4 linked regions of the Astyanax mexicanus genome follow. The protein of the gene in region 2 purifies or fractionates together with the protein of the main gene of each other region. This does not show direct contact. Links are inferred from orthologs where the notes say so. Each region holds a gene or a part of one and is shown on either strand. Other genes may lie near its edges. The genes, in order: cdc37, lrrk2, ywhae1 and hsp90ab1.

Region 1 (7,527 bases), on a different chromosome or scaffold from region 2:
AGAGCAGACTAACAAAAATATTATACAATACTGTCAATGATACAGACATTACAGAGTAATTCTGAATAATCAAAATATTTACAACAATAAAACTAACAATAAGCTAAAGCTGAATTTTTTTATACCCAGAGTCAATTTACATTAACTTTAAGAACAAGAACTCCTATTAGACTCATCATGATAATGCAGATTTAATAAAGGATTTAGAATTTATACCTGAAGCAATGAACGAAATCTATGCATTTCCTACACAAAAAATAACAGGACCCTGTTCTAAAATAATAAGTTGATCAGCACTAGCTTACTGAAGCTTAACCAGCTTAGCCAGTCTATACTTTTACCAACACCAGCAAAGAACCCCACTCCCTAATCCTAAAGATTAATCAACTGATTAAAAAGAGGATACATTAAAAGAGGAAAATGTATATAGACCTTCTCCTCACACACCCACGCCTGTTAACAGAAAATATAACTTTTATATTAAATCATTTTATTGATAATTTAGATAAATTTAAACACAGGCACAATAGTAACAGATGACATACTACCATCTTTACAACACTGTAGTGTCAGTTAATCTAAAATACAAGTGTTTGAATCACAATTAACCCTGTTAATTAACACTGTTAATTCTGATTTAATTTGATTTGGCTGTGCTGAAACACAGAATGTCCAGCTCGAAACAGTGAACAGATTTCATTAAACCACAACAAACAATACAATATATTAAAATATAATATAAACAATACAATATTATTGAATATAATAATACAACATTATATAATATAATGTAATATAAACGCAGAATTTATCCAGCAGCACCGCTAACGGGTTAGCCAGCTAACCTAAAGAGCTAATTATCTAAATCACGTATCTTCTTGTTTTATTTAATTAAATCCGTTATTAGAAATTGAGATAGTTGAGATAAAGCGGCGGGTTTAACCGAGTTTAACCCCGTTAGGAGATACAGATCATTTACTGCTGTTTTTAAGTTTAAAGTTCTGAGGTAAATTAGCTTCGACTGCGTTTCAGTGTTTATTTAATCTCTTAAATCAGCGACCTGCTGCTTTAAAATCTGAAAAATACTCGAGTTTTTCACAAATTGTAGTCAGAATCAGTCTGAGGAATTAGTTAGCTTACCCTAGCTTAGCTTAGCCTGTATAGAGTTTTCAGTGAGTCAGCTAGGCTAGCGGTTAGCATCAGCTAATGTCCCGTGTTTATTATTTTTCGGTTATTATTATATGTAATGTAAGATTCTGAAATCAGCGGAACTGATTTAAAGCGCGTGGTTAATGATTTAAAATGCTTTAATGCTTTATTGGTGTGTTAAAAGCGACAGTAGTGAGATTTAGCTCCGGTTCTGAGGGGAAATGAGCTAAGCTAGCTCCACCACCGGTCACACTGTAAGCCTGGTTAGCTATCAGCGGCTAACAGCGAGGATTTACTGTGATATCAGTCTTTCTGTTGACCATATAAACGGTTAATTATCTGTACATTAGTGTATTAATCTGTATATTAAGTTTAACTTATTTATAATTCAGCAATAGTGGAGTTTGAGTTCTGAGAAGAAATTAGCCTCTGCTGCTGTTCACTCAAAGCTAGCTTAGCTTAGCGTTTGTTAAGGTAGATTTTATTAATATTGTATAATTTATATAATTTAAGGCGCAGTAACCCGATATAGCTCATTACATTAGTGATTAATGCTTTATCTAGTGTGGCGTTATAGACATGTCACAGCTCTGGGTCAGTACGGGGTTGTGATTTAATTGCATTAGTTTAACAGTCAGCATTATTTTTTTCCCAGTATTTTACTAATTATTTGATTTATAATGTGCTATATTCTACTAACCCCATTTAACGAAATTACCCGTGTTTGGTTTTGATTAGTATTACTGCCTTACGTATGCAAAAATTGCAATTATTTTTCGGTTTTTAACTTTCAAAGCTTTGAGACTAAGCTTTAGCTTTATAGCTAATCGGGGTGTTTCCAGCCAGAAAGCACATAACTCACTATTACTATATTACCTCTTATATTCTTATTAGTTAAATAATCGATGTAGATGTGTTTAATTTACTGTAAGTTCTGTTTGAGCACAATGACCATGCAGTGGATGTACACGGATTTGTACAGGTAAGGTAAATGTCCATTATTACAGTTTAATACTTCAATTGTTCCACGGCGAAAAGGAAATGATTTACACTGGTTTAAACATGATGTGATGATAAATGACTCAGATGGGTTTATATATATATTATATATTTCTGTTATATATTATATATATTTCTGTATTAAGCAGGATTTAGGCTTGATGTATTTGTGGGTTTTAGCCTGAAACTCAAGTCAAAAGACTAAAGAGTACAGATACACAGTGTAAGAAACTTACTGATCTCGGATCCATGGTGCAACATGGAACAACAATACAATGCACAACATAAAATTGTAAAAGTGTTATGATAGTGCAACATAAAACTATAACACTACAATAAATACAACAGACGACACAGTTTAACAGGCAGGACAGTGCAGTGTTTAAGAGAGAATAAGGTGCAGAGATATGTAACATATAGAACATAGATGATCACAGCAGATACTGAGGTAGATTTTTAAAGATTTAGAGAATGAAGCAGCAAATAACTGGTCTCTCTTGTGAGTAATGTAAAACACAGAAAGGTCCAGTATTACAGTAGAACAGAAAACAGAGAGCAGCCAGATCTCCTCTATATAACAGGTGTATAAGGTGGAACCTGTGTACAGAATCAAGTGTGTTGTTACCTGGTGTCTCCACCTGAACAGGCTCGGTGTGTCGATGTTGGGGTGTGTATCATCCTCATCGTCAGACACCTCGATATGATCCCACACGCTGTAATCGATAGTTGTCATGGCTCTGTTTATTCTCCTCTAATTCCCAATCAGATTGATTTTGTATAATAATAATCAATAATCGCGCTCTCCTCTTTCTTCTAGAGCTCTCCTCTCCACCCCACGCGCCTTCTGGAACTCTCCAACACTTCCGGCGCCAGAGGGCGGGGCAACGAGGTGGATCACCACGCCCCTTCCGGCTGTGTTACCGCAGAGAGCTGCAGCGGTTACCATAGCAACAGTGTCACCAGTCCAATAGAAACGCACGGTGCAGTAATCGATGCATGCATATCACAATACATAATCAATACACATAATCTATACACAATTATCTAAACATCTAATACACACACACAATTCTAATATAAATAATATATATATATATATATATATATATATATATATATATATATATATATATACTCATGTATATAAAACAATATATTGTATACATAAAAATACAATTATACATACGATTAAAACATATTCTTACATATAAGAGGAATTAGAAATTCAGAGGTATAAAATGAAAGTGTGTGCAGGGGCAGGAGTACTGAGGTATAAAAACCAAACATTTATTGAATTATAAATCACTCTGGTTTACATATATCATAAATACTTATTTTACTGAAATACAAACACACACGTGTACAGTGTTTAATAATTAAACTGATCAGCTTAATAATCTGATTAATAATAAACCAGTAGTATTTATAGTAAACCAGAAAGAGGCTGTAATGATTAAGTTGCTCCACTAGGGGTGGCTAAAGACTAAAGAAAGAACAGAATTTCAGGAGATTCAGTACTACAGAGCGGAGATGCAGAATCTGCAGGCGGTTCTGAGACTTGGTTCATTGTTTGGTTCATTGAGCGATCAGTTCTGGCCCAAGCAAAGCCTGGACTATACAGGACCTCTGAACATATCCTGTGGTCTCTGTGTCAACACTAATGTTAAAGGTGTTTCCTCCACAGCTCAGGTTCTGCTGTATTTTAAAGCCTGAGTTCTTCCTGAGTTCATTATCATCTCATTAGGTTCTGTTTTATCAGGGGAAAATACTGTTAAATCTCTATTATATGATTACAGTAATTAAAAATAGAACTCATGTGTATGATTGTTATACATTTGCAGTTCTACATACAATTTCATCACTTGCAAATGCCTCTGGACATAATTTCGTATGAAGTGCTCTATCAGGAACCTAAAAGTAGAACACTTGTAAGGTTAATAGTTTTCTTAAAGATTCTTCAAGACATTTTCCGACACTATGTGTCTGTTCAGCTCAGTCTTTGATCTGGACAATTTAGCCTTCTCCATTCACTGGGTTAAATAGTTTTCCAGTGCCAGAGCATTGTGGAAAGTGTTGTGTTTCCACACCCATAACCACTCCTCTGATGCTACATTGTACAGACTTCTGCTCAGTAAAAACAATCTAAAGAAGAATATACTGACTGAAGCTCTGATGTTAAGCTTAAACTTATCATATTTTCTTAATATCTGATCACACATCATAATTTTATAAAGTTGTACATTGTAAATATATTACATACAGCTCCTGTAAATAACTATAATAAAAAAGTCTATTATGCATTGTTAGGTTTTTCCCTCCAGTGTAACAAACACATTTACAGCAAAGAAAATCAACCATTATTAGATTTATTATTTTTAATGCAAAAAAAATGTGTAAAGTAGTAGGTCAGTTATTTCTAAATACATAATCCATTCAATGAGAAGGTGTATTGTGCTGTATTGTGTATTAGCTAAGATTAGCACCTGCAGCCTGTACACATTACATATATATGGAAACTATTTCTCTCAGATCAGTTTACTGAAGATAAAAATACCATTTATTCACTGTTCATAATTGTGACCACCAGTGGTATGCGGGCTAGAATATCTGAGACCGCTGTGCTGCGTGGGGTTTTTCAGAAAACTTCAAAACATCAGAACATCAGTGTGACTGGAGGGTCTGAGAGTCGCAATGGGCCACGTTGGCGTTGTGCCGCCGGGACGCCAGGTTCCTCAGGATGTAGCGGCCCATGTGTGTGTGCCGGTAATGCTTGCAGTACCAAACAAAGAGTCCAACTATCAGCAATGCCACCGCAACCGCAACACAGCTAGCGATGATTGGCAGGTTGTCTTCTGATGAGGGCACTAGATGAAGGAACATCAGGAGATTAGGTCAGATTTGTGTGATTTATGTTTAGGCTGTTCTAATCTTTAAGTAATATGTTCTGATCACTGGAGAAATATAAAATTTTATTTCTTTATAAAAACATAATACATGTCATAGTCTTAGTTTTTACTTGTTACTTTTTATTTAGTTCTCATTTTGTTTTCTGTATGAAAAAAGGTCATGAAAAAATATTTTTGTTTATTAAGAAAATGATCACTGCTGGGAAACAATGTTTAGGGCTCATTTTCTCCAGAAATATAATTTCTATTTACATGAAATTTGGCTGAAATAAATAAAGCTATAGTGGGATTGAGACTGATAGCTCAGAAGGTTCCTGCAGGATCTTGGATGCGGTTAATTGGTTAATTGGTTAATAAGGGCAAAGTGTTATTAGTTGCTAATGGGATTAATGTTTTCAGGAGAGTGAAAAAACGTGATAATGGTAGGATTCACTTTGATTTTGGGGGAGCAAAATCTGAAACATGCAGCATCAGCCCTGCAGTAACTACACCTGTACATGTGATGGACGTTTACCCTGAATTTCACTCACCTGAAACGGTAACCGTCACCGTCACGGAGGCGGAGCCTTTGCTGTTGGAGGCGATACAGGTGTAATTTCCCTGATGTTCTGACTGGACGTTGCTGATGTTGAGGAGGGGGGAGTGCGTGATGTTTGAGTTACCTGTGGTCCAGGTAAACTGAGGCTTCGGTTTTCCTCGTGCCGAACAGTAAAACGTCAGCGCGTCGCCCGCAGTTTTGGATACAGTGGCAGCAGACGGCCGTGTTATGATGGGTTTATCTGATGGGAAAAGAATAAAGAAAGAACCAATTGCTACTTCTCTGAGACATACCATTAGAGTTAAACTGCACAACAATGACAACACAACTCTGTGTTCTGATTTAATGTTGTATGCAAATAACTCAAACCCTAAAGAATTCCATGCTAGTTGACGTTAGCTGACTCGCTAAATTCCCCAAATGTTTCCAGCAGAGAAAGAATGAAGTAAGTTGAAGGAACAGGACTGGACTACAGTAAAAATTCAGATTGGTTTACAGGTGAACTCACAGAGTACGGTTATGTTGAAGGGTTGGGATTCGTCCACTTGTTGTTGTTTGAACTGGATCAGGTCCAGTAGAGCCGAACACTGATACTGGACTCCATCTTCTTCTGGACTGGTCCAAACCTCCAGAGTGTCCGTCACATCCCCCTTTTCTTCCATTCTACTAGAAATGGTGAAATTCCTGGACTCCCTGATGGTTCTGGTTTGGTTTTGGTCCAGTCTGGTCCACTGCACTGTAAGATTACTGACTGGACCCACATTCTTAATCTCACACTTCAGCTTCCTCTGCTCACCTTCTGACCAATCACCATTATCACGAACTATCACCACACTGTCCGCACGCTCTGCAGAGAAACCACAACCAAAACATCACAATGACCATTATAGAGCATTATAGAGCGCCCCCTACACTTCCTGTAGTGTATTACAGTCTGTCAGAATGAGCGTGTGGATCATATGACCATTATAGAGTATTATAGAGCGCCCCCTACACTTCCTGTAGTGTATTACAGTCTGTCAGCATGAGCATGTGGATCATATAAACATTATAGAGCATTATAGAGCGCCCCCTGCGCTTCCTGTATTGTATTACACTCTGTCAGATTGAGTGTGTGGATCATACAAACTTTATAGAGCATTATAGAGCACCCCCTACGCTACCTATAGTGTATTACAGTCTGTCAGAATGAGCGTGTGGATCATATGAACATTATATACCATTATAGAGTGCTCCCTGCACTTCCTGTATTGTATTACACTCTGTCAGAATGAGTGTGTGGATCATATAAACATTATAGAGCATTATAGAGTGCTCCCTACGCTTCCTGTAGTGTATTACAGTCTGTCAGAATGAGCGTGTGGATCATATGACCATTATAGAGCGCCCCCTACACTTCCTGTAGTGTATTACAGTCTGTCAGAATGAGCGTGTGGATCATGTGACCATTATAGAGCATTATAGAGCACCTCCTATGCATCCTGTTGTGGATTACAGTCTGTCAGAATGAGTGTGTGGATCATATGAACATTGTAGAGCATTATAGAGCACCCCCTACACTTCCTGTAGTGTATTACAGTCTGTCAGAATGAGCGTGTGGATCATATGACCATTATAGAGCGCCCCCGGCACTCCCTGTAATATATTTCAGTCTGTCAGAATGAGCGTGTGGATCATATGACCATTATAGAGCATTATAGAGCACCCCCTACGCTTCCTGTAGTGTATTACAGTCTGTCAGAATGAGCGTGTGGAACATATGAACATTATAGAGCATTATAGAGTGCTCATTACGCTTCCTGTAGTGTGTTACAGTCTCTCTGAATGAGTGTGTGGATCATATGAACATTATAGAGCACCCCCTACACTTCCTGTAGTGTATTACAGTCTCTCAGAATGAGTGTGTGGATCATATGAACATTATAGCGTATTATA
Region 2 (7,644 bases):
AATCATATCATAGGTCAGAAATGTCATGATCTTTCCTTTTTTATTTGTTTTTGTTGTGTTATTTCCTCACATTTTAAATGTAATACATTTACAATGTAATCTTACTGTTCCAGCTAACATGCTGCTATGTTGTTCACATGTGTAGAACAATGGCTAGGCGAGATCCATGTGGCTCTGAGTGGGTTTGTAAATGTGTTGTTACTGGGACCGGGTTGGGCTTCCTAAATGGGCCCCATAATGACAGTCTGCCTAAGTCTCATGTGGATCCTATCTAGGCCCCATATGCAGTGTACAACCCAGATGGGGCACATGTTTATTCTTTCTCCATCTTTGTTCTGATGTAGCCCATTACTGACATACATACAGCTCTTGAAAAAAAATAAGAGACCACTTCAGTTTCTCTGATTTTTATATTTATAGGTACACGTTTTTAGTAAAATGAAGATTGTTGTTTTATTCTATAAACTACAGACAAAATTTCTCCCAAATATCAAAAAAAGAATATCGTCATTTAGAGCATTTATTTGCAGAAAATGAGAAATGGCTGAAAAAACTAAAAAGATGCAGAGCTTTCAGACCTCAAATAATGCAAAGAAAACAAGTTCATATTGATAAAGTTTTAGAAGTTCAGAAATCAATATTTGGTGGAATAACCCTGGTTTTTAATCACAAAATTTTATGCATCTTGGCATGTTCTTCTCCACCAGTCTTACACAATGATTTGGATAACTTTATGCCATTCCTGGTGCAAAAATTCAAGCAGTTAAGCTTGGTTTGTGATCCATCCATCTTGCTCTTGATTACATTCCAAAGGTTTTCAGTTTGGTAAAATCAAAGAAACTCATAATTTTTAAGTGGTCTCTTATTTTTTCCAGAGCTGTATGTGAAAAAAACTTTCTAGTTCCCACTTTGGCTACTCATATAAGCATGTTTACTACATTGTTAACAAGGGTGTAATTAATCTATTTTTTATATAAATCAAAACAGCAAAACAAATGAAAAAAATATATATAAGCCTACTCATGTACATACCTCCATCCTCCATGGCTCAAGTAACTGAAAGCCCCATCCACCACACTGGCTATAAACTGACCGCCGGTGATAAAGAGGGTGTTTATGGTGACAAGTTGACCTCTGAGGTGAGAAGGAGAGACCTCAGCAATGTACACAGGCACTGTCATAGAAGCTATACCTGTGGAAATAAAACAGTATATACTTTTAAACTGAATTTTAAGACAGTAGGTCTACATAAATAAATTAAATGTCTACTACATCAATCTCCAAAAGAATCCAGGCTTCTAAATAGTAAAAATGACTTGCACAGGAATTCACTGCTTTTAGATTTAGATGTTCTAGAGAAACATAAATTGTGACAATGCCCAATACCAAGAATGGGCTAAAAGAGCATAATGCCCATCAGAATTGGTGTACAGAGCAGTGAAGCTGTGTTCTCTGCAGTGAACAGGAAAATAAAGGTGGAACTTTTAATCCAGAAATAATAATTGTATACCAATAACAGTAATAACAGTTATGTTCTTGTGGCAGAATGCAATCGAATTTGCACATGTTGAGACCCAACATGTGACGTAAACCTGTCCAACCTGTGCTGCATAACACTGATGGGGATTTGTCCTTTAGGCTCTTTTGTCACGCACCACAGATCAGCTGCTCACCATCCAGCCTCCAGCTTCTGCCATCTACCTTCAGTTAATTTTTTTTTTGCCACCATCACCACTTTTTTACTTCTTGTAACTGGTCAGAAAGTACAAACCAACTAAAAAGTCCTTTCAAACTGCAAAAAAATGGATCGTATTATTCATTTAAGACCAGCTGTTTTAGTCCAGAGCAAGGTAGGGATGAAAGTACTTTCTATAAACCACGTCTATATATATATATTGTGTTATTTATCTGGGACTTACCTATGCCAAGCCCAACGATGAGTCGCCCAACAAGAAGGACCTCTTTATTGGGTGACAGACTCAGAACCACGCCCCCGACTGAGAAGATGAAGCTGGCCAGCAGAATGCACAGTCTACGCCCCAGCGCTCCGTTCAGAAAACCCCCAGCCAGGGCCGCGACCGCCGCCGCCCCCACCGTGCTGGAGACCAGCAGCTCCTGCCACAGTGCGCTCAGCTTCAGCTCCTTCTTCAGCAGCAGCATGGCTCCAGACACCACCCCGGTGTCGTAGCCGAACAGGAATCCTCCCAGCGCCGAGAAGAAGGCCAGGAGGTAGACGAACCTGGCGGAGCCATCAGAACCTCCCCCAGCAGCAGCAGCAGCAGAGTTAGAGGGTCGGGTGTTGATGGACGGAGCGGTGATCAGACTGCGCTCTTCCTCCATCCCCCTCCCAGCGCTCATCACCTCCTCCTCCATGATCCACAGCTCCACACCACCATCCTCCTCCAAATCACAGAGAAGCACAGACATCCATTTAAAACAAGCACCCAGCGAGCCGACAACGCGAGACCGCGAGGTGAGGAAGTGTGCACAGATTAAAACTCTAAACCCCACTAAACTCCAGAGACACTGACATACAGACTGAAATTCAGCAGCTTATACAAAACGTAAACATCGAAACGTGGAGCACAACTCAACATGCGCACTACTCTCTCGCCACGCAGTGGGGGCGTGGTCACGAGTATGACGCCAATTAATGGGCGTGTAAAGACAGGAATGCTGATTTTCACATTAAAAAAAAAATCAAACACTCAAATTAAAATCTACGTAGCATGACTGAAACCCTTTCCCACACATACCCCAGTTTTAAAAAAAATCCTAATAGTCACTCGAATTAGCTTCTTCCTGAGTCTTTTCAACTCTTTCAGACACTGCATCCATTACAATGGACATAATATATTTGCTTTCATTTTTAAATGTTTTGTTGCACATAACATTAATTGAGAGATGCTTTTCATCAGAACAGACAAGAAACCAGCCAATGATCAAGTTTATAAAGCAACGAAACAGTAACTTGGACCCATCCACAGCAAAAACACTGGAAAAAAAAACTGTTTAGGGATGGTTTATGAAATAAAAAGATCAATAAGAATAAAAAAATATTACAAACAATGAAAATGAAATGTAAATAAAAAATAATAATTTATAATTTATTAAATATTTTAGTTAATTTAATTTATTTGCTTTATAGATTTTATAGTAGAATATTAGAGTCTTCTTTTCTGTGCATTACAGACAAAAAAACAGTATTCTTTCAGTTTTCCATCACTGGAAATTAAGGTCTGAAAGGTTTAAAATACAGGCGATCTGTGTGGAAGATCTACTGTACAGCTTTGTTAGGATAGTGTAACTTAATTTTAATATATTGATGTGAAAACACATCTAGTCCTAGCCTTAGGAAATTAGATTAAATGTAATTTACCAAATCTATGGTTGGTTGATAAAAGTAAAAAAATATATATATTTTTATAAAACCTTACATTGATTGCGATACATGATTGCAGACAAAATTTAGCACAGATCTTCCAAACTGACAACATTGAATTATGCTCTCTTTAGTTACATTTTAAAACAACAAATTGTGGAGTCACATATACAACTCGCTCCAACAGGCTTGTGTTAACTACACTGCAAAAAGTAGTTTTAAGGTTACAATTAAATAAACTGAATAAATATTTAATAAATCAAATAAATATTTGTCTTAATCATTATTTAATTCAGAGTATCTATTTGAGCTGAATAAGTCCAATTCAGTTGCTTGATACTGCATCAAGTATTTTTCAGGTTTTCCCTTACTTAATATACGGTCATAATACAGTGTAATAGCGCCACGCCGTGGGGACGAGACCATAAATATGACGTCGAGCAATGGGTGTGGTCTGACATGGAATAGCTCAGTTTAAGAAATACGCGATAGGCTAAATTATTTTAGAAAACATACAAACAAATAGAAATAATATTATAAGATATATTTTCTTACATTAACTAATGGGCGTTCTGCAATTTTACATATTTTAATCTGTGTGACATTCTTAAAATAAACTTATTTTTGTCGTTTTGAAAGACACATTACATTTCTGGACAAATAAATCTCAAAGGTTTGGTTTCTGTGTTCAGAAAACACAAGCCCGAAACCAGCGTGTTCTGCCGAGTTACGCTACCCATCAGTTTGTGCTACTTGGCTGCATTGCGCATGCGCGGACTCAAGTTTAGTATGTTTCGTGTGATTTTTAAAAAAATCATAATTCTGTTTTCTGGGGTGCATTATAGCTGCGTTATACAGTATTTCTGACGTGGTGCTTTTAGCCTATCGAAATAGCAAATCTCCTGTTTAGTTAAGCTAGCTTTACGTCCAAATATACTCTGTGGTAGCACGATTTGCGGAGTAAGCACAACTCGTCAGGACACCGGCACAATTTTTTCAATAAAAAAAATACAACCTAAACAGCTGACTAGCTATAAACACCTATATTTATATTTAGCTGTTAGATTAACTCACCTCTCGCAGTAAATCTTCTATTAGTTACAGGTCTTGGTGTTGGAGGAGTAGTCTGTGCAGTTCCCCCTCTTGCTCCTGCTGCTGAAGCTTCTTCCTGTTTGAAAGTTGCTCCTCCAGTCATATGACTCACAGGTCGCTTATTACTGCGGCCAGTCCCGCCTGAGGACTACAGCCGAGGAGAGACCGCTAAAGAGACGGGCATGCTTTCCTCACACGGCGTGGAGCAGAAGGGGAACTAAGCATGTTTCCACTATTTCACAGAGTTAGAGAGTCCAGCGGCGGCGGTAGAGACGCTCAGTGAAGTTTCCTCACGTGTCTGGTGTTGGAGAAAAGCGGGCTGTGCTGCGCAGTGGTGGCGCTCGCTGTATTTACACTGTGTTTAATGTGCCAGTGGAAAGGTTTTACACATGTGTTTAGTGCCAGCCGAGGGCCAGCACTGTAACCAGCACCATGGTGAACAAACAGGACCTGGAGGAAAGCGTGAAGAAGCTGTTAGTGAGGCTGAAGAACCTGGAGGAGGGCAAGCAGCTGGGCACCATGGTCCAGATCATGCAGGACCTGCTGTTCCTCGCTCACACAGAGGAATATGGTAAGATCATTAGCCAGCTAGCAAGCTATGGCCAGTGTAAATAAACATGCATGCTGGGGATTTAGCTAGTTTAGCTAGGTCATTTGTGTTGGAGTGTAGTCTATTAACTGGTCAATTCTCTCTGAGTGTTGTTATTGTTGCAGCAGGCTGTAGTCAGTAGTCAGTACACACACAGGCTGGGCTATATTTGAATGAGCTTCTGTCACTTGGGGGGATATTTTTGGAAATGTAAGCCCCTCTCTCCCTTCTGGTGTTCAGCTGCAGAGCTATTTGAGGACAAAAATGTCCATGAGCCACTGATGCTGGTGTTATCAACCTACAGCAACAGCAAAGTTCAACAGGTAAGAATCACTTCTACACTGCATTACATAAAATAAACAAATATTTTGACACACATCTACCACATTTAGCTTTGAGGATCGATTTGCACACACTGGTATTTATATCTCAGAGATAGTCACCTGAAATACAGCTCTGACCAAAAATTAAGAGACCACTTCAGTTTCTAAATCAGTTTTTCTGATTTTGCTATTTGCAGGTATATATTTGAGTAAAACGAACGTTGTTGTTTCATTCTATAAACATTTCTCCCAGATTCAAAATAAACATATTGTAATTTAGAGCATTTATTTGCAGAAAATGAGAAATGGTCAAAATAACAAAAAACATGCACCTCAAATTATGCAAAATATTAAAGTCTTAATATTAATAACGTTTTAAGAGTTCAAAAATCAATATTTGGTGCAATAACCCTGGTTTTTAATCATAATTTTCATGCATCTTGGCATGTTCTACTCCACCAGTCTTACACACTGCTTTATGCCACTCCTGATGCAAAAATTCAAGCAGTTCACCTTGGTTTGATGGCTTGTGATCATCCATCTTCCTCCTGCTTATATTCCAGAGGTTTTTAATTTGGTAAAATCAAAGAAACTCATCATTTTAAGTGGTCTCTTATTTATTTTTTCAGAGCTGTAGTTTTTTCAGCGACTTGAAGGAGTTCCTGGAGGTGCTGAACAATAGTTGCTGCTTTTAATCCCAAATCACTCATCTCAGTTTGGTTTAGATCAGAGGATTGTGGAGACCAAAGACATTTAATTTTAAAGTCTTTAATATAAATCTACAATGTAGAAAATAAATAAAGAAAATAAATAAATAACGTAAAACATTGTATGAGAAAGTGTGCCCAAATGTTTGACTGATACTATATATATATATACTATGTCAGCCATATACATAAAGCAACGTATTGATGGACCCTTGCCTCCTTTAACGCAGGTGGGATGGTCTCTACTGTGTCGTCTGATGGAGATCTGCCCTGCCACTCTAGACAAGCTGGTCAGGCCGCTGGGAGCTGGGAGTAGCTGGGAAGTTTTAGGTGTCCACCAGTAAGTATGAAACTGGCTGTTTATTTGCAGTGCAGTGATGCTTGTAATATTAATAAACATATAAGCAGCAAAGAAAGAATGGGCTCAAAGTTAATCATCCTAATTTAAGGGTGTACAAACAGTATGATTATTCTAATTCTTGTTTGGATGGAGTACAGTCTAAGACATTGCAGTGTTAAGTACAGGACATTATTGAGATATCAGTTTTAAATAAGTATCTGCTGCTAGTGGTATATTTTGTCTACATGTCAGACTATTGCAAAAAATATTTTGTATTGTGAAAACGTCTTGTGATGTTGCATTGTGTTGTAACCTTATCCTCCCATATCTCCCACCCTATGCAAAGGTACAGTAGAGTGTCAATACATACCTGTCCCTAGATATTTATGACGGAGCCAGAAACATTTTAGGGAGTTGACTGATAAGAGCTGGGAAAGAAAAATAATATAACTGAAAGTGAAAGTAGCCTTATTTTAACTTCAGGTATGTAATGCCTGTCCATTGCCCCAGTAAGAAAGTCTGAAAAACAGGTTAAGCTGAAAAACAGTGTTTATGATATGCTCCCAGTGTGTTTCTGAATGCTGGCTTTTGTGTGTGTGTGTGCGCATTTGCAAATCCAGGCAAATTCTGAAGGTGCTGTTCGTGCATAATGAAGACTGTAAAGTGGTAATGATAGGACTGCGGGTTCTAGCCTTGCTGTTAAAGTCAGGTAAGCCTGTTCTAATCAGTCTGTTTTACTAATTGTTCACTTATTATTTTTTTTACACAGCATTTTTTAAATTTCCAGAGAAGACTGTTATGGACAGTGAAAATTGGGCCAATCACAGATTATAAGTGATGTTTATCTGGAGTCTGTTCCTCCTAGACTGTATGGACTCCCTATATGCTATTTATAGATGTGTGTTATATTATAGTGAAGATTTATGGCACTAAGGAGAGATATGCGGTTATTACTGCTGATCATGAGTGCGCAGCTGTACGGCCTCTTCTGTATTCAGTCTCAGTCTGGGTCATGCTGCACCATGCTGCACCAAGTTTGCTGTACCACTGCCCTACTTAATCAGGTTCAGCTGCTTGTCTTCTACAGCAAACACCCAGGCAGGCTACATTACTGTAAATCGGTACTTCCTTATGTAAGCTGCTTTTAATGCACTGCATTAACTTAATATCACACACAAAACAAATGAGTGTGTGATAGTAGACAGTGTGTT
Region 3 (7,676 bases), on a different chromosome or scaffold from region 2:
CACAAGCCAGGAATTGTGGTCATTCTTTACTTTCATTTTGAGTAGTCAAACATTTCACATCAAATACAACTAAAAACTCTTAAAGATACAATCTGGTGGCACTGAAAAACATTACTCATTAACATTAAAATTAAATGTGCATTTTCATGTATTTTTTTTTGAGACCATAAAATCTAAAGAGTTTTTATTTAATTCAGTAACACCCCCATATGAGAAACAGCAGACTACATACATTTTGTAGTAGAAGACCTTGGACTCTCCTGAATTAGCAGCTGGAATTAGGTGCTTATCCAAAACATCAAGGATGTCATTGCAGATTGATTTCAGCTCAGTCTCAACCTGAACAAGACACATGGGAGACTGAGATGTAGAACCAGTCATACTGTCAATATAAAACTATCAGATATGGGTCAGGCGGAGCATACGCCTTACCGTTTGCCTGTACTCCCGGATCATTTTCAGTTTGTCTTCGCCACCCTTATTTTCTTCTTTCTGCTCAATACTGCTAATTATCCTCCAGGATGCTCTTCGTGCACCAATAACATTCTTGTACGCCACTGATAGCAGATTTCTTTCTTCAACTGTGAGTTCAACGTCCATGCCAGCCACTTTCTTCATGGAGTCAACCATCTCTGCAAAATCCAAAAGCAAATAATTAGCAGTTTCTCACTCAAACACATTTATACACAGAGAGCTTATGCCAAGCACTGAGGTACAGACACGTTTTCTACTTTCTACAATTAGTGAATGCAGATTCTCACCATCATTTAATACATATGATGTAGAAGCTGTTTGGTTTAATATGACTTCAGCAAACAAGTCAAAGTAAAAACTCACTCAAATTACTGATCCATGTACTAGAGCTTTTATTAGTATACACTCTAAATATAATTTCAGGGGTAAGCTTTGAAAGTTGATATCAGAGTTATAGATCTATAAATCCATACTAACTACACATATTGACAAGATTACTTATTCTTAGTATAATTTTGATTAGTCATAGCTATATTGCCACTGATTAGCACTAAATATTTCTCTGTGTAAAAAAAAAAAAATACTAGTGGAAATTGAAGATATCTGAATATCCACAGTGTAATTTTTACTTGTTATAAGTCCTGGGCCACATATCCATAATTAAATTGACAAGGACAAATATTCCTAATATAGTTTTGATTAGTAATAAATCCTAGGCATGTAATACTATACATTTTAACTAGCAAGAATAACAGTGTAGTTACCTACAGGTAAAGGAGTATACAGCAACAAAATTAAGAGACCACTTAAAAATGAGTTTCTTTGATCTTACCAAATTAAAAAATCTCTGGAATATAATCAAGAGGAAGATTAATAACCACAAGTCATCAAACCAATATGACCTTGTTTTCTTCTCCATCTTTTTTGATATTTCAGCCATTTCTCATTTTCTGCAAATAAATGCTCTAAATGACTATTTTTATTTGGAATTTGGGAGAAATGTGATGCGTAGTTTATAGAACAAAACAACAATGTTCATTTTACCCAAACATAGACATATAAATAGCAAAATCAAAGAAACTGATTGAGAACTAAAGTGGCCTCAATCTGTTCCAGAGCTTAAAGTTATAAGATAGTGAATTCCCATATGACTAGTCAAAACACATTAAGGATAGGCTGTCCTTGTAATAATGCCAAGTCATTGTGTCTTTATAAATCTGTAAAGCTTTTAAAACTTAAATTTAAAATATTACTAAGGAAAAAACTGAGTTATGACTTGCTAAAAAACGACTAGCTATACACTCGAGTACATTGTTGACTCTTTATATAGGATGTTAAGTAATCTTTAATGTCTATTTTCATGGCAACAACAACTGTTGTACTGGGGAAGTGAGTATAATCCTAGTTATTTAACTGGTTAGCTAAACTAACCTAGCTTTTGCTGAACACGGCATTCACATGGTTCACAGGAGGAGGGTTTACACAATGACTGCTAGCCTACTACAGCAGGCACATTAGGTTAGCTAGCTACAGACTAAACCTACAGTGTTCAATTCCCATTTTGGGTCAGTTTAGGTCACCCTCTGGTGCTTAACTAGCTAAATTAGCACCATTAATCACTTGTCTTTATAGCCACCCAAGTCAGCAGGCTTTATGAAAGCTATTTAACGCTAGCTAGCCGGTCTGCACCAGCATTGCTGCAGCGTAACTAGCGCTACAAGCTAGCTACGGTAAGCTAGGTTACATAGGCTAGCTTAGCTTAACCTGCGATGTTTTACAGCGGCCAGGCAGTCATTCCATCACACGCACACACCTGCAGGTTCGTGTGGTCAAGCTACCCGTAACCTATAATTAAAGCTATCGGGGTCAACCGGGGTGTAGAGGTCTCCACTGCTCCCTGCCTCGGCTAGCAACAGCCTGCCTCACCCAATAACTGTCCGCCATTTTGTCGGTTCCAGTACCGTCTCCATCTTCACACCGTCCCTCAGCGAATAATAACGGTCGAATTAGCCTCACTGGGTCTATATACAATTAACGCCAAGTTAAAGCACCTCTATCGGAAGGCAGTTCAGTTATCTATCCACCTCTCTCACCCCCAGCTCCCCGTTTTAATCCTAAACCTGGCCCCGAAGAAACACAGACAGACCCGCTAGCCCGCAGTATTAACGGTAAACGTTAGCATTAGCATTAGCCCAGTCAGCTTTCACCACAAAACACCGCTTACCGTCGTATCTCTCCGCCTGCTCGGCGAGCTTGGCTTGGTATACTAAGTCCTCCCGGTTAGCCATGTTGGAAAGTGTGACACGAGCCTATTCAGCGACGGATTCTCGGTAAAGGAGTGTGTGTAAAAGCGGCAGGCCCTCGTAGGAGAAGCAGCTGCAGCCTGAACCGTGTTGAAGCCCCGCTGTCCGCCGGCGCCACTGGGGCAAAAATGGCGAGAGAGGCTCATCCGGGAACTTCAGCCCTGTACAACAGAGGGCTGGAGGGAGCAGCCCTGCTTAGAGCACTTACTCCCTCCCTACCTGTCCTAAAGTTTACAGACACATACTGCAACATGCAGCTCTCTCTTAATGCAATTTAATTTCACATACTATAGAGGTCCTTCTCAAAAAAATTGCATATTGTGATAAAGTTCATTCTTTTCCATAATGAAATGATACAAATTAAACTTTCATATATTTTAGATTTGTTGCACACCAACTGAAATATTTCAGGTCTTTTATTGTTTTAATACTGATGATTTTGGCATACAGCTCATGAAAATCCAAAATTCCTATCTCACAAAATTAGCATATCATGAAAAGCTTCTCTAAATAAGCTATTAACCTAATCATCTGAATCAACGAATTAACTCTAAACACCTGCAAAAGATTCCTGAGGCTTTTAAAAACTCCCAGCCTGGTTCATTACTCAAAACAGCAATCATGGGTAAGACTGACGACCTGACTGCTGTCCAGAAGGCCATCATTGACACCCTCAAGCAAGCAAGGCTGTTCCCAGAGTGCTGTATCAAGGCACCTCAGTGGGAAATCTGTGGGAAGGAAAAAGTGTGGCAGAAAACGCTGCACAACGAGAAGAGGTGACCGGACCCTGAGGAAGATTGTGGAGAAGGGCCGATTCCAGACCTTGGGGGACTTGCGGAAGCGGTGGACTGAGTCTGGAGTAGAAACATCCAGAGCCACCGTGCACAGGCGTGTGCAGGAAATGGGCTACAGGTGCCGCATTCACCAGGTCAAGCCACTTTTGAACCAGAAACTGCGGCAGAAGCTCCTGACCTGGGCTGCAGAGAAGCAGCACTAGGACTGTTGCTCATTTTTTGCATGTCATCCGGAAATCAAGGTGCCAGAGTCTGGAGGAAGACTGGGGAGAAGGAAATGCCAAAATGCCTGAAGTCCAGTGTCAAGTACCCACAGTAAGTGATGGTCTGGGGTGCCATCTCAGCTGCTGGTGTTGGTCCACAGGGTCAATGCAGCTAGCTATCAGGAGATTTTGGAGCACTTCATGCTTCCATCTGCTGAAAAGCTTTATAGAGATGATTTCATTTTTCAGCACGACCTGGCACCTGCTCACAGTGCCAAAACCACTGGTAAATGGTTTACTGACCATGGTATTACTGTGTTCAATTGGCCTGCCAACTCTCCTGACCTGAACCCCATAGAGAATCTGTGGGATATTGTGAAGAGAAAGTTGAGAGACGCAAGACCCAACACTCTGGATGAGCTTAAGGCCGCTATCGAAGCATCCTGGGCCTCCATAACACCTCAGCAGTCCCACAGGCTGATTGCCTCCATGCCACACCGCATTGAAGCAGTAAATTCTGCAAAAGGATTCCCGACCAAGTATTGAGTGCATAACTGAACATAATTATTTGAAGCTTGACTTTTTTGTATTAAGAACACTTTTCTTTTATTGGTTGGATGAAATATGCTAATTTATTTTCTTTACTTTTTTTTGCCAAAATCATCAATATTAAAACAATAAAAGGCTTGAACTACTTCAGTTGTGTGTAATGAATCTAAAATATATGAAAGTCTAATGTTTATCAGTACATTACAGAAAATAATGAACTTTATCACAATATGCTATTTTTTTGAGAAGGACCTGTATATACATATACAGCTCTGAAAAAAATAAGAGACCACTTCAGTTTCTGAATCAGTTTCTCTGATTTCACTATTTAGGTATATGTTTGAGTAAAATTAATGATGTTTTATTCTAAAAGATTCATTTAGAGCATTTATTTGTGGAACAGCTAAACAGTCCTCGTCTTACCTCTCTTTCTTTTAATTGCTGAAAGAGAACACCAGATTTGCATTTAAAACATGCGTCATTACAAAGACAAAGCTTGTCACTACTTTAACCTAAACCAGACAGCTCACAAAATGAACAAAAAGCCCCCTTACAATAGCTCATTCTGTCTAGCATTATCTTTCCACCCAATGTTCATCAGATAACGAGACAGGTTTCTCTGTAGCAAAACTCATTTTCTGTGTTTTGTTTTTAGCCATAGATCCATTAAGCTGTATAATGATTTAGTAGAAAACATTTCAGTAGCTAATGAGTGTTTACATGCACTAAATAATCTGACACCTTAAGAAAATAACTGCTCTTTTAAAGGGTGTATTTGTATTATTATGCTATTAAATTATCACAATTCCTACAGTCTTAAAATTACTAATATAATTTATTGCAATTATGGGTTTTGATATTGGCCAAAAAGCGATCCATTGCATTGTATGAACAGTTCATGACCATACATATATGTTACAGATATTTCTTTATATGAATTCTAATTTTGGAGATGTTACATGGTTCAGATAAAAGTGATTATTCTGGCATGCCTTTAAAAATCACAGACAAACTCAGCATTTAAAGGGGTTAAAGTGGTTTACTATAGGAGTTAACTTCATTTCATGTACAGGAACAGGCTGATCCAAAAGAAAAAAAAAATTGTTGACCCATATTGAAGCTGTTCTGTGAAGGGCATTATGTGAACAAAAATGAACATCACAAAAAATATATAATATTACTCTCACTAATGGACTGTAGGATTAGACAGTAAACATAATACTTTAAGTACAAATAATAAAAATAAAAACATGGGCAAAGTTACATTTCTCAGTCAGTCAATCTAGACACAGCTTAAAGTGGCACTTATGATGTGCATTAGTAAGACTTTATCCTTTTTACCTTGCGATAGAGAACAGAACACTTTGGAATGATGTTGAAGCTGTAGTGTTATATTTAACAATGTTCATATTCATTTTATTTGGCCTTTTAAACGTTTGGAAATTGGAAATACTTATTTTTTTGTTTGTTTCATAGCTCAATGGACAAGTAGCCCGTTAATAACAGGACTTGAGTGACAATCTGGCTGCTTGTCCTGACTAGTTATTATTACTTCATACCCAACCTTCATATTTCCCGCATGATAGAAGCTTAATTCTTTCAGGTGATTGTCCTTGTTCAAGTGACAGAACGTAAAACATAGCCATTCAAAAAACTGCAAACATGATCAGTGTAGTCTTAACTATTTTCTGATGGTAGTTCCATTAGTGTTATGGGTTTGTTCGTCAAAGCAACATTCACATTACATGCCTCAATAATCAGTTCTGATTTTGCTCAAATCGGTTTTGGCCGTCTCGATGCTTCACATTCATAAATGTAAATGATCTGTAGTTATTTGTAATGTGAATGAATTTGTCCCTGAACCAACAAGCATGTGCACAAAGATATATTTACGCACGTTTTCAGATTCCGGTTGGGAGACAGAATTCAACTAACAGCAGTGCTGACTGATGAAGTGTACACACTACAGATATGAATCTGATCTGAATGTTCCATTTTTCACGTTCCAACATACCGGATATATATCCAGTAAGTACCACATATAGAGAAACAATAGGAAGGAAGAAGAGGGGGAAAAAAACAAAAACACTCAAATCTGATCTGGCACATACAGGCAAAAAATCTGATTTTGAGTCACTTCAGCTTTGTAATGTGAACACGACCTAATTCAGATTCATACATTTTCCCATACCCACAACTTAATGTTTAAATATGAACTACAAATGTTTCAAATCACAAATCTTGCTTACAAGTCCTTCTAGTACAGTATTTTTAACTTCCCAATCTGGTTGTCAGACTAGATTAGACATTATCTAATTCAGTTTTTGAACTGCAATAAAGGCAAACTGCTGGTTAATGGAACTGTGTTATATCACCTCCTAGGAGAAAATCCCACTATGAAGCAGTGATGCATGATCACAAACATTATTTAAAAAGAAAAACACTAATTCAGCTGGAGCACAGACACATAAAACAATTGTAGATGAAGGCTACTGTTATGTGCAAGAGTTTTAGATAGGGAGGTGTTTGAGGCATTGAGTTAACACTTTACATGTAGTGATCAAATCTTACAGTGTATATCAAAGTAGTAAAGTGAGTTGTTCTTGAAGCATCTGCACATGATAGCATTTTAGGTGGATGTTGTAGAGAGGTTTGTAAGCACAATGTTTTTATACATTAAACCCAATGAAAGACTTCTTTTTGCAGGCACACAAGTGGAAATATATCATTATGTGTGCTTTTATAAAAACTGATTGGTGTCTTCCAAATTAAAAAAAAAGTCTTCATTGCCCAGAATAGCTTCTCTGTAATGACCAACAGGAAATGAAGGGGACACTTCTTTAACTAACAAAAGTCAATTGAAGCATTACTGTGTGCACAAAAACAAACGGTTAAAGGAATACAAATTAAGCATGTAATAGTAAACATTAATATGAGCATGATCAGTATTTCTTCAGACACCTTTTATGGAATCACATGGCAGATGATTTGTAGTGTGATAAAGGGCTCAAACTAATCCCCTTTGTAGCAGTCATCTTTTAGCAAATCAGTATGAGTAGTGTATGCTACTCAAATGCAGAGGAACAGTCCCTTACAGCAACACCCCACTGCTTACATTTAGAGTCCAAGCAGATATCTCTTCTCTCTCAAACTCACAATATTTAGGCCACACTCCAAAGTTCCGCTTAGGATAACCTATAGAGATGTCCGTAGTGTTTAGTGTCTACTTAAGTAACTTCAAATGGTTGCATAAGGTCTAATAAGGAAATTACTGCAGATAGTGTATATATTGGCATGAACGACATGATGGCACGAAAACAATGAGCGGATAGACAGGAAAAGGATCTAGTAGA
Region 4 (7,037 bases), on a different chromosome or scaffold from region 2:
CTTGAGGTGAAGGATGACCTTAGTTCCACGACCAATGGGCTCACCTGTAAACAAAACACGGGGGTAAGATACACATGCACATACTAAGGTTAAGCAAAATACAGTTATTTTTAAAGTCTCAATGTAATTTGCTTGCTGTTCTTTACAGTTTACTGTATTTTGCTTGGATGCCATTAACAAAAATTCACCCCCCCCCCCTTCATCCAAATAATCAAGGAGTAATTTAGGCAAGTTTCCAAAACTTACCATTATCAACTTTGACTGTGAAAGAGCCACCAGCAGAGGACTCCCAGGCATACTGCTCATCATCATTGTGCTTGGTAATCACTACCACCTTCTCAGCAACCAGGTAAGCAGAGTAGAAGCCCACACCAAACTGTCCAATCATGGAGATATCTGCACCAGCCTGAAACAAAGGGGGAAAAAATGAATATATATGCAGTCAAACTAAAGTTTTAATCTAGGTAAATGTGATTTGATTAAACCATTTGTAGGCAACATACTTAATATACAGCAAAAACTAATGGATTTCATTTAGAACACCTCATTTGTTTACCTGAAGAGCTTCCATGAAGGCTTTGGTCCCTGACTTGGCAATGGTACCCAAGTTATTGATGAGATCAGCCTTAGTCATACCAATTCCAGTGTCCACAAGGGTCAGCGTGCGCTCAAGCTTGTTGGGAATGATGTCAATCTTCAGGTCCTTCCCACTGTCTAGTTTAGATGGATCAGTCAGACTTTCATATCGGATTTTGTCAAGGGCCTATAAGGAAGAGGGAGAGGTGATTTTTTTTTTTTTTTTAAATGTAAAAAATCTAAAATGTTTAGCTTCCATCAACAAACACTCAACCTTAGCATTAATATCTGTTAGAAATATTTTCTGCAGCCAAAGTATTACAGTACTCGATGACTAACATTACACTTACTGAATATATTATGGTACAAGCTTATATAGTAAAACATTTTTCTTCGTAATATACACCAACTGATTATGAATAATTCTGTATAAAATTGCAATTCCCTAGCCTTGACAATAATAAAAATCTGGCCACTGGTGTTAACATATAGCATAACTATTTTATAAATATAGCTGCATTATGCATTATTTTTTTGTGCATTTTATAAAGCGCTAAAGTAAATTAAAAATAAATTTTAAATTCTGTATGTACAAACTTCACAGAATCCACCTATTGTTTTCAGTGTTCTATTAAATTCAACTTGCTTTAATAAATAAATCAAATAAATAAAAAATATTAAATCAACACTAGCACTTACATCAGAGGCGTTGGAAATAAGCTCCCTGAGGAAGATCTCTTTGTTGGAATAGAAGGTGTTAATGATGAGGGACATCAGCTGAGCGATCTCTGCCTGGAAGGCAAAGGTCTCAGCCTCCTCCTCTTGGCGCATTTCTTCAGGCATCTGGAGAAGAGAAATAACACTGAGTCACACCACCTTAAAGATATTCCTCACTTTCTGTTTCAGTTCAGTTTCCGCATAGCGAACAGCTCCAAGTGACTCGGGGTATTAACTTGGAAGATCTTTTTTCTAACTGTAGTCTGTGGGGAAAAAACCCTACCGAATTCTTTTAAGATTTAGAGGATTATAACAGTGTAAGTGACAGACTATCACTGAACAGAACTTTTGTTAGAATCATAGACTAATTTTAAAACTTACGTATTTAACGTCATAAATACCGTTATGGAGTATGGATTAGAAAACTATTTACTCCTAAATGGATTTTTTTTGTTTGGAACTGCTTCGATAAAAACTCTGAACTCGTCTAAAGCCTGAACTGAAGTTGCTCTTGACCGCCCCCATTCAATTACCCAACATGGCGTAACCGGACCAGCGTACAATGGAGGAGACACGTGCTTGACGAAGAAAGCCGAGAGCCGGAAAACTCCGAGTTTTATATTTATGTTCTGGCTTTTACTAGGAGAGATCACGTTAATTTAAACTAAAAATACGGCCATTAGACAGTTAACTTAGTGAGTTTACACGATTTAAAGTGTGATTAAAGTGTAAGTTACATTAGACACGAATGGAGAAACCGGTCCTTCAAGCCGGAGCACATGGCTTTTAGCTAACGTTCAGATCTTACACGCGGATTTAAAACAGAATTTATTGGTGTTTTGTGGCTGAAAATTGGCATTTTAGCGTTCCATGTAACTTCATTAGCTTATTGATTAGATTGGCTAAGCTGGGTTAGCTAAATCGTCAGTTAGCTAGTTAGCTAGCGCGTGTTTAGGCTGGTTGGCCTGAAATTAAGTTAACGCTAGTTAGCTTAGCGTTAACTAGCAGATAGAGAAGCTAACGCTGTACGGCTCATATAATTAGAGTTACGGTTAATGTTCAGGGGCCTATTATTTCACCTACATTAGTGAACGCCATTATATAACAGAAGTAATAGTTAACTAGGTTAGCTAGCTAGCTAACCAAGCTGTATTACTGAAGCCTCATCACGACTATAGAAACAGTAACCTTCCACCCGTCAGCTAAATCCACCGTTAACTAGCGCTAGCTTAACTCCCCCGGCCCGAGCGCTGCACCTGCTGAAAGAACGGGTAACCACAGCTCATCACGACGAATCCCAACTCACTAACTAATTTACTAAAATAAACACCCAAATAAACCTGTCAGAGGTCGTGTCTCACCAGAATCACGATAAACTAAGCGAGTTTAAGTGTTTTTGGCCGGTGAGCGGAGCTGAAACGCTGAGCTCCGCCGGTCTGTAGTTTCAGTTAACGCTGCTCCGAGTCTTTGTTAGCGGCTCTCCTCCACAGCCGTTCATCTGTCTAAATAAACACAATGAGGCCGCAACACTGCCGGGTTTATCGTTTTAAAGAAGAGAACACGAGACTCAACCGCGTCGTGTGAACGGGAGAACTCACCTTGATTAGTTTCGGTGATTTCTCTTGAAATAAATGCTGCCAAACCCTTCAGATCTCCTCCAACAGTGATGCTGCGCCGCAGCAGCGTATCTTTATGTAACCGTCGAACATGCGGCGTATCACTCCGCGGGCTGGGCTGGGTCTACGCTGGGTCTACACTGTGTTCTGTTTGCACTGGGCAAAGTTAACCTTTCTAATGATGATGTTAATAGACATTAGAATAGACATGTTTATTGTTATAGTATACATTCTGAATAAATAAACGTTCTGTTGAAAAATAAATGTGCTGTTATAATCGCACACATTAATTTTTTAATTCAGATTATCCACTTGCCTGTTATAGTAATGTAAACAACTGTATATTTGTAGTTTATATATTAATATCTTATTCACATTTAACTGCAAATTTATATGTGTGAAGTGTCAGTCAAATGTTTTGAATTGTTTGACTGTATTTCCTTAATAAAATTGAATGTTTTGGGATATTAGCCTGTGTACTAGCTTTGCATCATTTCAGTTTATTTCCCAATCATAATGACACATTTACAAAAGCTGCGTTTTAGCTGGAAGCTGGTTTCAGTTAGTCAATATGGTTGAATCAGGTAAAATCCTATGCTGGCCGTGCATGTCAACTAGCTTGGCTTTGCTATACAATAAAGTTTCCCAGCCTAGTCTTTGACAATATGTTCCTTTCAGTGTAGAATCTCTATTCAAAATGCTGTGTAGTCCAAGACTAGGTTTAATCCAGGTTCGGAAAACTGCTAAAAAAATGGTAAAAATCTAAATCTAAGCTGTTTTAAAATCGTGCCTTTTTAATGGGTCGGAGGTTATGCCCCTGCCTTGATGTCTTACTGCCTTATGTCAACAGCTAGTTCCTTAAGTTGCAATAGTGTTATTTATTAGCATTTTTCACCCAACAAACTACACCTGAAGATGGTAATGATGCCATACTTAATTTCAGACATTCAGGGTGCCTTCCTGTTTTCTCATTCCCTTGTTTCTGGTCAGGGTCATCTGGACCGCAGGCCAGTACCACACACTTTCGTTCATGATTTGGCATACCCAGTTCACCTATGATGTTTTGGAGGTGAGCAGCAACTCTGTCAGTTTTGCTGTTTACCTTTAAAAGGTTTGAACCCACAACGACAGGGTCCATGATACCCGCCATACAGACACTATGTTCTCAGCCACACTGTGCCACCTGAACACAAGTAAACATTAATACTTTTATACACCCATATAGGCAGTTCTCCAGTATTACAAAATAAAAGTTGTTCAAACATAAAATGTTTGTCATGCTTATGTAATATTAAACAATAATTTCTATAACATTAAAAATACCATATCTCTGTCTTTGAGTTTTGCCTTACACACAGACACATCAGCCTATTTGGTCTTTATATAAGGTTCAAGCTCCCAATTGCAGCCATCTACACATTGGACCTGTCAACAGGAGATTGTTGGTTGATCCCCTGTGATGCTACAGCCAGAGAAACACAATTTTCCAAATTGTGTTAGCCTGTACAGGTTCTTTTAGTTAATATAACATAAATAGTTAGTTAGTGTCCTCTTTCTCAGAAGCAGTTTTTCATGTATTCAATACTAATACAAAAAGTGTAATTTACTGTTGAGAAATTGACATTAAGAGGGCTAATCCTAATAGAGAGCATGCCAGACATTATATGAATAATATTCTATTATTAGCTATATTTTATTGCAGCAGACCAGTGCCACCCAAACATTCTCCACTTGGACTGGACTTAAATATAAATAAATAATAAATAAGCACAATTATATATCATACATAACACACATCTAAACATCTGTCTGATATGGTTCTGAAATCATGGTCAGTCCTTTCCAACCAACCAGGGTTGTTTCTTGCAACGTTCCTAAACAGGCCTGCTGGTTGCTTTCCTTTTAAATTCATATCTATTGTGGATACTGGGACACACAGTTACTATTTTTTTTTTGGCTCTAACAAAAAAAAAATAGATTTCCCCTCCCTTAACCTTCGCCACCCTGGGTATGGTTTGGTCCACTCCCTAAACCATAAGAGGGGATCTTAATGGTATAACAGCTCTCATTGGATGTGCAACATAATTGCCAACTTTTTTAATTTACTTATTTATTCCTGCATCTTTACTTCAGGTCAGAAGTTATCTTATAATGTGTCAGCTACTATTTTAGTACTACTATATTAGTGTCCATACGTAGGACTGTTTAAAAAAAATAATTTTCATATAACATAATAATAATAATAAAGCATTGATAACCCTGTGTTAAGATGCATGGAAATGTCTACTTTAATATTTATAAATAACATATAAAGAGCAGCTATTATCCACACATTATCGATTTATGATTACAATACTATAAATTATATAAGATCTGCAGTAAATTAAATATACCCCACTCTGTACAGCATGAGATTCACCTAGGCTAAATAATATGAGTGGTTAGACTGAACGAATAGTAATAATATATATTTTTGGAAGTAATATTCTTGTATTGTCTTATTTAATACTAAATAACTAAGGGGTGGCACGCAAGAAACGATTAAACGCACAAAAGAAGCGAAGGATCCGCTGCACTCGTTTTTGTCACGGAGGGATATCAGCGCTCCGAGGCGGCGGTGCTTCGGCTCTTTCTAGCACTTTCCATGAAAAACCCGCCTAAAAGTGACGTCACGCAGCCGTCAGGAACACGCGTCTCTCCGGCGCAACTTCCAGATTTACCGACTTAAAAGTTCCTCACCGAGGAGGAAAATAAACTCCTAATAAAATAACGCCTAGTTATAAAAGAGTTCCCTACCTGAACTTGGACCTCATCATCTCATAAATATTCAAGTGACACCAAAAAAACGAATTAATGCTTCAAAATCACACAATATTTTATTTTAATATTTTTATGTGTATTAATATATTGTCTCACAGAGGGGAACAACAATACGCATTTTCCTGTGAGATAATATAAGATGAGGTCAAAATTAAATAAATTATTTATATCTCTAATGCGTTAAAATACACATATCTGTTGTTTATTTATACGTTATTTGATTTAAAAAGGCAACTTTTATTTTGAAGAAAATTATTGCAAATTAAACTCTAGTATAATAGTATAATGTATAGTATAATGATTCTAATAGTCATTATAAAACTGCACCACAGCTGTAAACAATACAATAATACATTGAAAGAGCGGTCCAAATGCCTAGATTTGCATGTTGACTGTTGGTTTCTGTAAACAATGCAAGCTGAGAAATACTTGGTACATAGCAAGGGGTCAGATAAATGCAGTGGTGTGAAAAAAGTGTTTGCTTCCCTCATATTTTTAATTTTGTGCATGTTTGTCACTTTTAAATGTTTCAGATCATAAAACTAATTTAAATATTACCCAACAAAAAACAAGTAAACACAAAATGCAGTTTTTGAAAAACGTTAATGTTTTTAATAATAAGGGAGAAAAACTGAAGGCCAGACATCTCCTTCAGGATTTTTGTTAGATGGCAGAATTCTTGGTTCCATTTATCACAGCAAAACTTCCAGGACCTGAAGCAGCAAAAAAGCCCCAAACTACCACCACCATGTTTCACTGTAGGTATGATTTTTTTCTTATGCTGTGTTACTTTTACGCCAAATTCTCTTGCAAATTTAAGATGAGCATTAATGTTCTTTTTGCTCAGCAGTCATTTTTGTCTTGGCACTTTGCCATGCAGGTCATTTTTTCCTTTTTTATGGTGAAGTTATGAACGCTGACCTTAACTGAGGCAAATGAGGCCAGCAGTTTGAGGTATGAAATCTCTAAACTTTTGAGTATCTATTGGTCTTCTTGGCTTTGTCAGGCAGGTCTTATTTAAGTGATTTCTTGATTGAAAACAGGTGTGACAGTAATTAGACCTGGGTGAAGCTTTAGAAATTGAACACAGATGTAATAAACCACAGTTAAGTTATGTTTTATTGATAAAAACTTTCATTCAAACAACACGTTATGTTTACTTGTTTAATTAATCTTGTTTACCTTATAATTTTACATACATTTTAAACTCTATTTATAAAATACAGTACAGTGGTAAATATAAGGATTATTATTGAAATGTATAACATATTTTTTCTGACTAATTTCAGTGACTGATTTGTTCAGGGT

The links.
Region 1: the proteins of lrrk2 (region 2) and cdc37 purify together in Homo sapiens (co-immunoprecipitation; 8 studies listed by BioGRID and IntAct, with this or other methods). This does not show direct contact. The link is inferred for Astyanax mexicanus from reciprocal best matches to the Homo sapiens genes LRRK2 and CDC37.
Region 3: the proteins of lrrk2 (region 2) and ywhae1 purify together in Homo sapiens (co-immunoprecipitation; 6 studies listed by BioGRID and IntAct, with this or other methods). This does not show direct contact. The link is inferred for Astyanax mexicanus from reciprocal best matches to the Homo sapiens genes LRRK2 and YWHAE.
Region 4: the proteins of lrrk2 (region 2) and hsp90ab1 purify together in Homo sapiens (co-immunoprecipitation; 6 studies listed by BioGRID and IntAct, with this or other methods). This does not show direct contact. The link is inferred for Astyanax mexicanus from reciprocal best matches to the Homo sapiens genes LRRK2 and HSP90AB1.

What each region holds. Positions count from the first base shown.
Region 1 is NC_064428.1:42,797,368-42,804,894, reverse strand, and holds the start of cdc37 (hsp90 co-chaperone Cdc37), read right to left. Parts: upstream 3,024-7,527; 5' UTR 2,882-3,023; coding exon 2,774-2,881; intron 1-2,773. Other genes in the region: probable serine/threonine-protein kinase nek3, read right to left, coding at 4,810-5,012, 5,585-5,833, 6,101-6,439. UniProt on the Homo sapiens protein: Co-chaperone that binds to numerous kinases and promotes their interaction with the Hsp90 complex, resulting in stabilization and promotion of their activity. Inhibits HSP90AA1 ATPase activity.
Region 2 is NC_064409.1:58,636,960-58,644,603, reverse strand, and holds the start of lrrk2 (leucine-rich repeat serine/threonine-protein kinase 2), read left to right. Parts: upstream 1-4,629; 5' UTR 4,630-4,906; coding exon 4,907-5,045; intron 5,046-5,303; coding exon 5,304-5,386; intron 5,387-6,323; coding exon 6,324-6,433; intron 6,434-7,053; coding exon 7,054-7,142; intron 7,143-7,644. Other genes in the region: slc2a13b (solute carrier family 2 member 13b), read right to left, coding at 1,033-1,192, 1,920-2,427. UniProt on the Homo sapiens protein: Serine/threonine-protein kinase which phosphorylates a broad range of proteins involved in multiple processes such as neuronal plasticity, innate immunity, autophagy, and vesicle trafficking.
Region 3 is NC_064425.1:15,960,783-15,968,458, forward strand, and holds the start of ywhae1 (tyrosine 3-monooxygenase/tryptophan 5-monooxygenase activation protein, epsilon polypeptide 1), read right to left. Parts: upstream 3,014-7,676; 5' UTR 2,763-3,013; coding exon 2,699-2,762; intron 633-2,698; coding exon 433-632; intron 340-432; coding exon 233-339; intron 1-232. UniProt on the Homo sapiens protein: Adapter protein implicated in the regulation of a large spectrum of both general and specialized signaling pathways. Binds to a large number of partners, usually by recognition of a phosphoserine or phosphothreonine motif.
Region 4 is NC_064408.1:85,811,833-85,818,869, reverse strand, and holds the start of hsp90ab1 (heat shock protein HSP 90-beta), read right to left. Parts: upstream 3,025-7,037; 5' UTR 2,892-3,024; intron 1,420-2,891; coding exon 1,276-1,419; intron 764-1,275; coding exon 557-763; intron 407-556; coding exon 247-406; intron 45-246; coding exon 1-44. UniProt on the Homo sapiens protein: Molecular chaperone that promotes the maturation, structural maintenance and proper regulation of specific target proteins involved for instance in cell cycle control and signal transduction. Undergoes a functional cycle linked to its ATPase activity.